Linked DNA regions of Canis lupus familiaris. The protein of the gene in region 1 interacts with the protein of each later gene in a biochemical or structural test. Links are inferred from orthologs where the notes say so. Each region holds a gene or a part of one and is shown on either strand. Other genes may lie near its edges. The genes, in order: FGFR1, FGF8 and FGF6.

Region 1 (3,741 bases):
TTAGACACTCTTCCTCGGGTTCCACAGAACCTTTTCCTCAGGTACTCTGGATGGATTCTGATTAATTTCCAAACCAATAACATGCCCGATTCCCACCACTCACTCTTTGCTTCCTAAAATTCACTGCAGGTTGAAGACTTCTGGAGGCCCAGAATGGTGCTGCAGCATTCGTAGCCCGCACCCCCCCCCCCCCCCCCAACCTCCGCTTCCCGGTAAACCACAAAAACCTAAACTCTGTGGCTGGGAACCGTGAGATGGGAGGGAAGGGTCCGAAGGGGGCGTAGACCTTCTCACGGATAAAATACAGCTTGTATTTATTGACTGTTAACTATGTGGCAGGCCCTCTCTTCATCCTCAACTCTAATGAAAAGCGCTATTATCCCCCCTTTTAGATGAGATGAGAAAACTGAGATTCGGAGCGAGAAGAGTCATTTCCCCAAGGCACGCAGTCAGTGCGACTCCAAGGCCGGTGCTGGCAGGGACACCCTCGGGACCACGGCGTCGCCCCCCCTCCCCCCCCTCCCCCCTCCGCCCCCCGCTCCTGTGTCCGCCGCCTGGACCCCGGGCGCCCAGCGGGCGGGGCTCCGAGGCCAGGCCCGCGCGCCCCGGACTCAGACTGCGGGGAAGCTGCCGCCGAGCGCCGCGCCGCCGAGCCCGCTCCCCGCGGTCGGGGGCCGCGGCTGGAACTACAAGGCCCAGCAGGCAGCAGCAGGGGGAGGAGGCGGGGGTGGGACTAGCGCGGGTGGGAGTGAGCGCGAGCCCTCGCGCCTCGCCGGCGCACAGCGCTCGGAGCGCTCCTGCGGGCACTGGTGCGGCGGCCTGGGCGGCGGGCGGCGGGCGGCGGGCGGCGAGCGGGAGCCCGGAGTCCGGTCCGGCGCGCTGCGGCCGGGGAGCCCGGGCCGTGCCCGAAGCCGGGCGGCGGCGTCCCGACCCGACCCGACCCGACTCCGCTTAGCGCATTGCGGCGACCTCGCCTTCCCCGGCCGCGAGCGCGCGCCGCAGCTGGAAAAGCCGCGGAAACCCAGGACTTTCCGCCGGTGCGAGGGGCGCACAGTCCCAGGGCTGCAGTCGGGCGCGCCGCGGGGCCGGGGCCCCCGCCGGGCGATGGAGCCCGGGCTGCGAGAAGCGTGAGGCGCCGCCGCCCGGTTCTGGAGAGGGGGCCGCAGGGTCTGGAGACCCCGGGCGGCGGACGGGAGCCCTCCCCCCGCCCCGCCTCCGGGGCACCAGCCTCGGCTCCATTGTTCCCGCCCGGGCCGGAGGCGCTGAGCCTCGAGCGCCGGCCGCGGGGCTCTCGCGGCTCCGCCAGGACCCGAGCGGAGCCCGGGGGCGGCGGGCCGGAGCCGGGGCCGCGGGCGCCCGCCCGCCCGCCCGAGCCACGGCGGACTCTCCAGCGGCGGAACCGCAGCGCCGAGTGAGGTAAGAGCCGCGGCGCCCGCAGATCCGGGGCGGGCTTGGCGTCCGAGCGGCCCCCGGCGCTGGAGCCTCCCGGCTGCGTGCTTCCCCGCCGCAGCCCGGGCGAGTCCGGCGCCTCCCTCCGGTCGTTACCCGCTGCCTGCGCCTCCCGACCCCCTCCCCGGCGCTCCGCGCCCCCCTTTTGTCTCCCCTCCCGGCTCGCGTCGCCTCCTGCGCCCCCTCCCCGCGCTCGTCCCGCAGCTCCTCCTGCCGCCCAACTTTTCCGCCAACTCGCGCCGGGGAGCTGGCGAGGCGGCGGCGGCGGCGAGTCCTGGGAGCGACCCGGCCCGGGCGAGGGCGAGGGCGAGGGCGAGGGCGGCGGCGGCCCGCGGTGTCCTCGGACCGAGGTGGGGAGGGCGCGAGCGGGCAGCGGTGGGGGGACTGCGTGTGCGTGTGTGTGCTGCATTCCGGCCCATCTCCTTCTAGTCCGCCAGTGGGGACTCCCCCCAATCCAGCAGGTAGCTGTGCGTGGGACGCTAAAGCCCCGGGGTCTTTCTAAGTCTTCCTCCACCTCGAGGGAAGTCTGGGGTCGCGCTTGGGGGTGGGCGGAGAGGGCCGAGAAGGGGGAAGGAAGAGGAGGGGTAGGTTAGCTTCTCCTGGAATAGGTTTTAAGGAGGTGTCGTCACCAAATGGCTGAATCTGCTATTGCAGAGAGCGAGAAAGGAATTCCCTTTTCCAGAGGGGGTTATCTTCTACTGAGTGGATCTCAGAAAGGGTCGGAAGTTTGTGGAAGGGAGGGCGCCCAGCGGGTGATGTTAAGCCCCATTATGGGGTCGCGGGGGGGGAGGGGAACGTTCGGTTCCAAGCTGGTTCGAGGAGGTGGGGGAAGGGATGAGGGTTTGGCCGGTGCGGTGCACTCGGCCGCGCTGCATGTTGCTTCTCTGGCTCAGACCCTCTGCCCACCCCGCTCCCGCCTCCCGTTATGTGTGGGGTTGGGAACAGAGGAACCCTCGTTTGCAGAGAAATTTATTGACATTGCGGATGGATGGAGTTCGTTGAGCACATAACCTATGAAGGCAGCCAGACCCCCTCGGGCGGGGGTGGCGGGGGTGGTGGTGAAGCTTCCTTCTCCTTTCTGGGCCCAGAAAAAAAAAAAAAATTTCTGCGGTATCTTCCTCCCCTAACACTTTTTCCCCCCATTTTCCAGATGTAGCCGCCGCATCTGGTTTCGTTTCACCCCACACCGCAGCCCCATTAACATTTCCCTCCCTTCCCCCTCACCCACATTAAAACTGGGATCCTTCCACTTGTCCTTACCACCTCCCTCCCTCAACATTTTTTGAGACTGAAGTTGAGGCGTTGGGATTTGCGGAGAAAAGAAAGTTACCCTGGGTCCCAAGTTATTTAGGATCTGAGGGTGGCGGCGCTCTCTCGATAGTGCCGGAAGAAGGCATCGTAGGAGATGGGGCCGGGGGGGGAGGGGGGGGGCTCTAGGGGGGTTGGCACTTGGCGAACGGGGCATGTGCTGGAGGTGGCCTCGTGGGTTGTGATTTGACCCAGAACTGGCTCTGATGGAAGTTTCTGGAACCAGAGCATTGCTTTTTCCGCCCCTTGGGTTGTCGCTGTAGCCGCCGGAGCGTCTGGCCCGGCCCGGCCCGGAGTCGCCGTCGGGTCTCTGGCCACCCGCTGGTGGCCTCCTGCTCGCCTTTCCACCCTCCCCGAGCGAGCCGGGGCGCAGCTGCGGGGGACGCGCGAGGGGCGCGGATGCTCTTGCCGCCGGGGGCTCTCCCTGTGCGTTTGAAGGGAGTTAGTGGGCCGCGGCCCCTGGAAGCTAACGTGGGACAATCTGCTTCTTAACGGCTCCAGGTTTGAAAGCGGGCATTGCATCGTTGGGGGTTCTTGTGGGTTTGTTTTCGGTTTTTGTGTTTTGGTTATATCCTTTGAGGTAGGAAGGCACCTTATGGTCCAAGTTGCGCGAGGGCGGGGAGAGCCGGTCCCTCTCACCCTCTCTTTACCAGTCTCTTTCAAATTGAAAACACTTCTCTGGTTTCCTCCTTTGGGCGGTAGTTTTGGAGGCTGTAATGAAATCGCACTTTCTCTAGACATGGTAATTAAGGTGACTGTTTCCTCCGCAGATGTGCCCTGCCCTTTGCACCTCCGGACCAGAGCTTTTTTTGGAATACCGTCTAAACCGTAGAATCTTAGCCTTGAGACTGTTTAGCAGAAAGTGGCCATTTTTCCTGCTTGGCCCAGGTCCCCGGTTCCATCTCTGAGGCTTTAAAAACTAAGTAGCAGGGCCCCCGGGGGACGAGCCTCTGTCTAGCTAATTACCCCCAAGCCTGGGTCATC
Region 2 (3,741 bases), on another chromosome or scaffold:
CCAGGAGAAGCTAAGCATCCGTTCCCTTTCCTTGGAAGCTGGGAAGGGCAGCAAGCAGCCGGTCTGGAGGGACAAAGGGACGGCAGGCTGGCCCTGCCAGCCCAGCAGGGGACCTCGGCCACCGGGCAGGCCGCCCCCCACCCCCACCCCAGAGAGCCCCCAATCCCCTTCCTGGTGGATCTGGGGAGCTGGGGCCGCAGTTTACAGCGGCTTTCCCGACAGGGCTTTTGGAAAGCTTAACATTTTCAAACCTATTCTTCCACCCCAGTGACAGATTTATCCCGGGAAAATTATGTCTCCTTCTCCAGCTTTGAAGGGAAGTCAGCTACGTCGATGCAGAAAAAATGCAGTGAGACATACTCGATCCCCCAAACTGGCTCGAGAAGAGGAGAAAGTATTCAGGAAATGTTAAAAAAGGTGAAAGTAAGAAGAGTTTTAATCGCTCTGCCAGACGCGGGGGTCTCTCCAGAGATTCATAGAGAACAATCTTGAACCTCTTTTTTAACATTTACAGACTTGCAACTCCTTTCAAACTCCACATCTGAAAAAAGGCTCGTTCTTTTTCTGTTTTATATCATTCTTCATTTTTCTTCTTAGCTCTTAAAATGCCTCACCTTTTTATTACATTTTAATAGAGTCTTCCCCTCTCCTTTCATGGTTGTTTAACTTGGTCATTATTTAAAGGTTTTTAAACTCACAATAATCGCTCTCTAAAAACAACACCAGCCGCCCAGAGGGCTTGCTTTTTCTCTTGGTACATCCAGGACTCTGGAAATTGGCCTTGTTTCAAGGCAGGAATATTGAATGTTTTAGAAATCAATCAGTCCTCCGCCTCTCTGCCCGCGGTAGCTCCCTGGACTCAGCACCCCGCAGGAGCCTGGCGCCCCGCTCCGACCACCACCTAGGTTCCTGGGTCAGTGGAGTGGAGACACCTTTCCCAGCCAAGTCCCTATGTGCGGCTGGCCCTTCTGATCAAAATACTTAAAGGTTCATGGCACCCCCTGTCCAAGCTGGAAAGGTTGGGGCAATTTTTCTCTCTTCTCCTTCCTAGCTCTCTCCTTTTGTGGACCCTGGCGACATATCCTCTTTCAAGAGCTTCCCTTAAACCTGGGGCCCCTCCCGCAGACCCCCTGTCTCCACCTGCAGCTGGGGAGGGGTGTGTGAATGGGGGAGGTGGAAAGGGAGACTCCTGGATTCATTCATCTGCTGGGCAGGGAAGGGGCACCTGTGGGCCAAGTACTCCCCAAGGTCCCTTCCCCAGCCCTCTTCTCTCCAGCTGACCCCCACCAGGCTTCTTTGCCTTAACTCCTTCCCTTCTGAGCTGGGGAGCCTGGAGAGGCCTCTGGCCAGCACAGATGGGGCCTGCAGGTCCCATCAAAGCAGGCCAGCCAGGGGAAGGGGGCATGTTCCACAAGCTACCTCTACCCTGCCGGGCGCAGCTCGCCTTACCGAAGGGGTCCCCGTCTTCTGCCATGGCGTTGATGCGCTTGTTGGCCAGGACCTGCACGTGCTTCCCGCTGGTGCGGCTGTAGAGCTGGTAGGTCCGGATGAGGCGGCGACTGAGCTGATCCGTCACCAGGCTCTGCTCCCTCACATGCTGTGTAAAATTAGGTGAGGACTGAACAGTTACCTTTAGGAAATTGAAAAATACACAACACGCCATTATAATGCTACTCTGCCCAGGGGCCCCCAGCGGCCCCCATCGCCCTGCACGCACCTCCACTGCCCCAGACAGCCAGCAGGGGCTGCGGTGTCCCCCCAACCTGCCAGCTCAGGCCACAACACCCAAGCCAGGAAAGTCAGGCAGACCCAGCCTAGCAAGGATGAGCCCAGAACGATCTGGACCTACCTGTTGCGAAGCCCCCTGGGACCCCCAGCCGGCCGGGATCAGGGAACCAAGCTCCCTGCCCGGCGGCGGCCCGCACCCCCACCCCACCCCCGGCGCCCACACGCCTTCCTAGAAAAGCAGGGCGCTCGTTAGTAGGGAGGCAGCGCTGCCCAATCCCTGACATTTATAAAGACAAATTTGCGGAGCAAATGTTCCGAGCGCAGAGAGCCTAGGCACCTGATCTTTCGGCCAGACCCGCCACAAGTCTCCCCCGAGAGCCGAGCCGCGGAGAGAGTCCCTGCAGCAGTCACCGGGACTTGTGACAACGAACGCTCCGGGACCCCGCTCGCACCCCTTCCCCGGCAGCCACATGTGGGTGCTCCTAGAGCTCCCCATCCACTCCCAACCCGGCCAGGCTGCGTGGGAGACAGCGCTGGAGCCCGAAAGCCCGCGTTCGAGCCTCGCCGCACACCAGCTGTGTGACCTTAGGCAGGGCGCTCCCTCTCTGTTCCCTAACTCCCTCCTAGGGGAATCGGGGCTGGATCCCGAGGGATCCTCCCAGCCCCGCCGCGCCGGCCGCAGGGTCGGTCCTCGGGCCCCCGCCCGACCTCGCCAACCCGCGGCCCCCGCCGGCCCGCCCGGGCCCCGCCGCCGCGCAGTGCGCCTTACCTGGGCTTGGAGGCAGAGGACCAGCAAGTGCAACAGCCTGTGGGAGACAAAAGCGGGCGGGAGAGAGAGGGCGCGGGTGAGCGGAGAGGGCGCGGCGGCGGGGCCGGGCGGGGACGCGGGGGCGGCGGCCGTACTCACAGGCAGCTCAGCGCCGAGCGGGGGCTGCCCATGGCGCGCGGCCCGGGGAGCACCGAGAGCCCGGCGGGATCACGCCGGCCCGCGGGCGGCCGCTAGGGATGAGCCGAGGGCGGCGGCGGCCGAGGACGGCTGGAGCACGGGGGGGCGGGCGGCGGGCCGGACGCGGCTCCGCGGGTCCCGTGGAATGTCGAGCTCGCCGCGCCGAGTGGCTCTGCGCCGCTGCCGGAGCCGGTGGCCGCTGGCTGCTCAGGAGCCGGAGCGGGCGGGAGGGTAACGGGCCGGCAGGGTGGGTGGGTAGGTGGGAAGGGAGGGGGAGGGGTGGGGGCGGGGGGCGCCGCACCGGGCGCGAGGGGGGAGCGCGGGGCGGGCGGCCGGAGCCCGCAGCCCCCGGCTGGGAGCTGGGGCCGGGACGCAGCCCGGGGCGGGGGCGGGGCGGGCCGGGGCGGGGCGGCCCGCGGGTCTGGGATTGGGGGGTCTGGGCTAGGGGAGGGGTCTGGGGACCGCGGGGGGGGCGGGGGGCGGCCAGTGGGGGCGCCTCCCCCCATCCCCGGGCTGACCCCTCGCGCGCTCTAGGGGTCTGGACCCGCGGGGATGGGGGGCGGCTCGGGCTGGGGCTTCCTGGCCCGCGGGGTGCGCGGGGTGCGCAGGCTGGGCGGCGGGTGCGTGAGCCACCTACTGTGTGCTTCAGCCGTGCATGCCCCCGGAGGCGGCCGCCAACGCGAGAGTGAGTGGCTGTGCGGCTCCCCGGCGGCCCGGCAGTGAGTGCGTCTGCGACCCGGACCGACCCCGACCTTTCTGCCGAATAACCCTTCTCGCGGGTCTCTCCTGTCTCACTCCGTCTCCAAGAAGACCCTAAGAGCGAGAAATGTCCCCTCCATTATCAGCATCACCCCTGCCTCCGTCCCACACGCTAGCCTGAAGCCTGAGAGGAACCAGGAGCACCTATGTGGGGGAGCCTAGAGGTCCCTGGCAGGCCCCGTGGTCGCTGCGGCCCTCCCAAAGCTGCAGCAGAGGGGGCCGAAAGATCTGTCAGCTGCTTTTCCTGGAGAAGAGACTTAGATCCAGGCCGCCTAGTCTTTCCCTCTCAGAGTCTCATTGCTTGTGCA
Region 3 (3,741 bases), on another chromosome or scaffold:
TGGTATCTCAGAAGAGTCCCTAGGCAGTGGCACTCATCCTGGGAGCTTTCCCCAGGCTTCCTGTAACTGCCAGCCTGTATGGGGAGGGAGGTGAATCATTTTGGGCCATTGAAATAATTCTATGATGTACTCTTAGCACAGAATGAGCTCAATAGACTCTGTGGGCCAGCCTGGTCATCTATCTTCTACTACAGGCAATCCTGTGGGGGAGTTAAAAGCACAGGCTTTGGATTCAGGCCAACTATAGATATTCTGGCTTTGCCACTTGTTAGCTATGGTAACTCAGGCCAGTCACTGAAGTTCTCTATACCTTAGCTTATCTATAAAATGGAAATACTATCAATTGGATGCCAAGGACAAGCCCAGGTAGAAAAATGGCAAGTGGGCTATGTCAGGTGCAACTTCCACCTCATTGACTGGGTGAATGTCATAGCCAGAACAGCAAGCAGAAGCCTGACCTAGCCCTCTCTTCCTTGACAATCCCAAAGCTCCTGGGGCCACCTCCCTACCTCCCACCAGCAAATCTCTGTTCTCTCCTGTTTAAAGGGCTCAGCTTTCAGTGTCCCCCAAGCCTACCTTGCCATGAACCACCATGAGCTCTTTCCATGAAAAGGTCTCTAGGGTAGCCCATAGGCCATGACCATTGCCCACCACCAAAGTTTCCCTATCACTGTCTTTACCCTTTGCCCTCTAAATAAGCAAGCCAGCAGCACTGCCAGGCGAAGAACTTTTGCCCGGTTTGGGTTGTGGGTAGCCTCTTGCCTCCCTCTTCCCCTGGGCTCCCAGCCAAATCCTCCCTCCCTCAGAGATGCTCTCTGCTCCCTTCATTCCTGCCTCATAGCTGGAATGACAGTGGCTCCCAGAATCCCTGAGGTGTGGGGAGGGTGATGGGGGTCTGGGGAGGCAGCCAGGCCCAGGAGCAGGTTAATGTTACAGCCTTGGATAAATGAGCTGGGCCAGTTGACGTCAGGGTGATGATGGGTGGAGGGGAGGGCCAGGCTGCTGAACTATAAAGATAGGTCAAATCAAATATAATCAACTTGGGACGGAGCAAGCGGGCGAGCTAGAAACAGTCCCCAAGCCATGGTCCCTACCAGCCGCGGCTCAGCCTGGGTCCCTCTGCTCCCGACCCGAGTGCCCAAAGCAGGCTTTGGTTTCATGTCAGCAGCCTTCATCTGCCTTCCAAAAATAAGCCCCTGCCGCCATGCTGAGGGGAGAAAAACAAGAAGGGCGGTATTTTTAGGGCCATTAATTCTGACCACGTGCCTGAGAGGCAAGGTGGATGGCCCTGGGACAGAGGCTGTTCATCACTATGTCCCGGGGAGCAGGACGCCTTCAGGGCACGCTGTGGGCTCTCGTCTTCCTAGGCGTCCTAGTGGGCATGGTGGTGCCCTTGCCTGCAGGTACCCACGCCAACGGCACACTGCTGGACTCCAGGGGCTGGGGCACTCTGCTGTCAAGGTCTCGAGCCGGGCTAGCTGGAGAGATTGCCGGGGTGAATTGGGAGAGTGGCTATTTGGTGGGGATCAAGCGGCAGAGGAGGCTCTACTGCAACGTGGGCATCGGCTTTCACCTCCAGGTGCCCCCCGACGGCCGGATCAGCGGGACCCACGAGGAGAACCCCTACAGTGAGTGCCAGCTGCAGCCAGTTGGGAAGCTGGGGGCTTGGGCTCAAGCAAGACTAAAAGACGATGGGGACTTGCTCTGGTGCATGGGCTCCTATTATAATGGGGAGAGAACCGTGATTCCCTACTTGGATGCTCATAAACATAGTCACCTCTCCCAGACTCACTGGGACCCTGCCTAGTTGCAGGCTTAATATGCTGAGGTCCAAGCATTCTGGTGTCCTTTGCCATCACCCCTTGGAGCCCCAGTGGCACCAATTAGCATTACAGACACACACCTGTGGCTGTAGAAGGCCACAGGGAACCATCAGCCGGGAAGCCATAAGGCAAGGGTGGTGAGAGTAAATGAGGGCAGCAGGACCAGATTAAACCCAGGCTGATTTTTACTCAGCTTCCCTCTTTGAGAAGAAAAGGCAAGTGATCTGCAAAATTTCCCTGCTGAAACACATCTTTCTTTTTTATTCCAACCTCCCCAGCTTCCTCGTCCTACAAGTTGATGGGTTGCTGCATAGATAGACTCCCACCCAAGAGAGGATGGGGGCTGCAGGATCCAGGCAAGCCATCAGCTTCCATGCGCTGCAGTGTTTGCAAGTTCAGAGGAGCTGAGATTTGTTGAAACATGTAGAGTATCTCCTTTATTAAAAAAAACCAATAGGCATTCCTTTTTCTACTCCAGGCAAGGACCTCATGTGATTAAGTCAGTGAAAGCTAATCTTCTGTAGATATGCTGCAAGCCCTGGCTCTGATGTCAGAACCCTCCTTGCAGAACTGGACCTTTGACAGTATAGTGACAGGACGTGCCGAGTCCAAAGTGAGATCAGGCATAGAGGTGATAAGGGTCTGGCTTTCTAGGAGCAGAGGACAGACTTAGATGCCCTTGTGGCATTGCCTCTAGATCAACATCCCACTCTGCTCTGCATAAGCCCTGGGTAACGCCCCCTGCTTTCTTTGTCAGGCCTGCTGGAGATTTCCACAGTGGAGCGGGGTGTGGTGAGTCTCTTTGGAGTGAAAAGTGCCCTCTTCGTTGCCATGAACAGTAAAGGCAGATTATACACAACGGTGAGTCCATTGGGCTGGGGGATCTCCAGGTTGTATGAGGGCTACAGCTTGCACAGTTGGAAAAAATACTACAAAAGCTTGAGTAGAGAAGTGAATATCAGTCTAGAATGAGAAGGAAGGGTCCATCACAGTGACAGCCCTGGCAGCTCATGCTTGGTTTGCTCCACAGTTGATTGGCTTCTGCTCTGCACCATGCTTTTCCTGACCTTTCCGTCCTTTGTCATTAAATGGGAATCAGAGCTCAGGAGGCTACTGGTTCTGAAGGAGACCTGCACCCTGACATGAAGCAGTCATCTGGGCTTATGGTCAGGTTTGATTCCCCGAACTGGAGAGGCCCAGAGGAACCAGCCTGTCTCTCAGCCTGGGGTGCTCTGTCCCATGACCCACCTCAGAGAGGTACCTTCCCACCTAGAGTGCAGGAAGAGGAGAAATGGAGACTCTCTTCCCCACCTTCACTGGTGTATTGAAATTTTACTTTAAGATTTTAAGTCCTCTGACCTCTGCTCCCATAGGCTGGAGAAGCATCCTCCTATTCCACCCTCTGGGCTGGCACCTCACCTCCAGCTCCCTCCCCCACACAGATCACCCAGGGGAGGGCAAATTCAAGCTCTTTTGTAAACGCAGCCAACCCCTAAGCATATTTACCAAAATCTCTGCTCTCTTTGACACCCAGTAGTCCTGGGGCTCTCCTCCTATGATTCAGCTTATTCCAAGATAGGGACTGGGAAAACATCCCTATGAAGTTGAAGAAACTGGGAGTTCTTTGACAGAAATAAGAAGGCTAAAAAAGGTAGACCTCTGAACAATTATTAAGGAATACCAGAGTTATTTATGGGAAGGGCGTGGAGTGCTGTTCTACTTCTCCTTGGACACAGACTGAGCATCAGGAAATGAGGAGAGATCTAGGATTGGTGCCAGGTTCCGGGAGGCCGAGGGGTCTGCTACATACCCAAAGGGGGTACTCAGATAGCTTCTTCCCTGTAATCTTTAGTGCTGACACTAAATCTGGGTTGGTTTGCATGGAGACAAGGCATGGGTTAAAAGTGGGCATCTGAAG

Evidence for each region.
Region 2: the proteins of FGFR1 (region 1) and FGF8 interact in a biophysical measurement, tested with the Homo sapiens proteins (2 studies listed by BioGRID and IntAct, with this or other methods). The link is inferred for Canis lupus familiaris from reciprocal best matches to the Homo sapiens genes FGFR1 and FGF8.
Region 3: the proteins of FGFR1 (region 1) and FGF6 interact in a biophysical measurement, tested with the Homo sapiens proteins (2 studies listed by BioGRID and IntAct, with this or other methods). The link is inferred for Canis lupus familiaris from reciprocal best matches to the Homo sapiens genes FGFR1 and FGF6.

Annotation. Positions count from the first base shown.
Region 1 is NC_049237.1:27,766,299-27,770,039, forward strand, and holds the start of FGFR1 (fibroblast growth factor receptor 1), read left to right. Parts: upstream 1-1,327; 5' UTR 1,328-1,416; intron 1,417-1,781; exon of another isoform or gene 1,782-1,799; intron 1,800-1,800; exon of another isoform or gene 1,801-1,910; intron 1,911-3,024; exon of another isoform or gene 3,025-3,258; intron 3,259-3,741. UniProt on the Homo sapiens protein: Tyrosine-protein kinase that acts as a cell-surface receptor for fibroblast growth factors and plays an essential role in the regulation of embryonic development, cell proliferation, differentiation and migration.
Region 2 is NC_049249.1:14,551,769-14,555,509, forward strand, and holds the start of FGF8 (fibroblast growth factor 8), read right to left. Parts: upstream 2,668-3,741; coding exon 2,636-2,667; intron 2,535-2,635; coding exon 2,498-2,534; intron 1,631-2,497; coding exon 1,450-1,630; intron 1-1,449. UniProt on the Homo sapiens protein: Plays an important role in the regulation of embryonic development, cell proliferation, cell differentiation and cell migration. Required for normal brain, eye, ear and limb development during embryogenesis.
Region 3 is NC_049248.1:5,649,451-5,653,191, reverse strand, and holds the start of FGF6 (fibroblast growth factor 6), read left to right. Parts: upstream 1-1,054; 5' UTR 1,055-1,282; coding exon 1,283-1,628; intron 1,629-2,580; coding exon 2,581-2,684; intron 2,685-3,741. UniProt on the Homo sapiens protein: Plays an important role in the regulation of cell proliferation, cell differentiation, angiogenesis and myogenesis, and is required for normal muscle regeneration.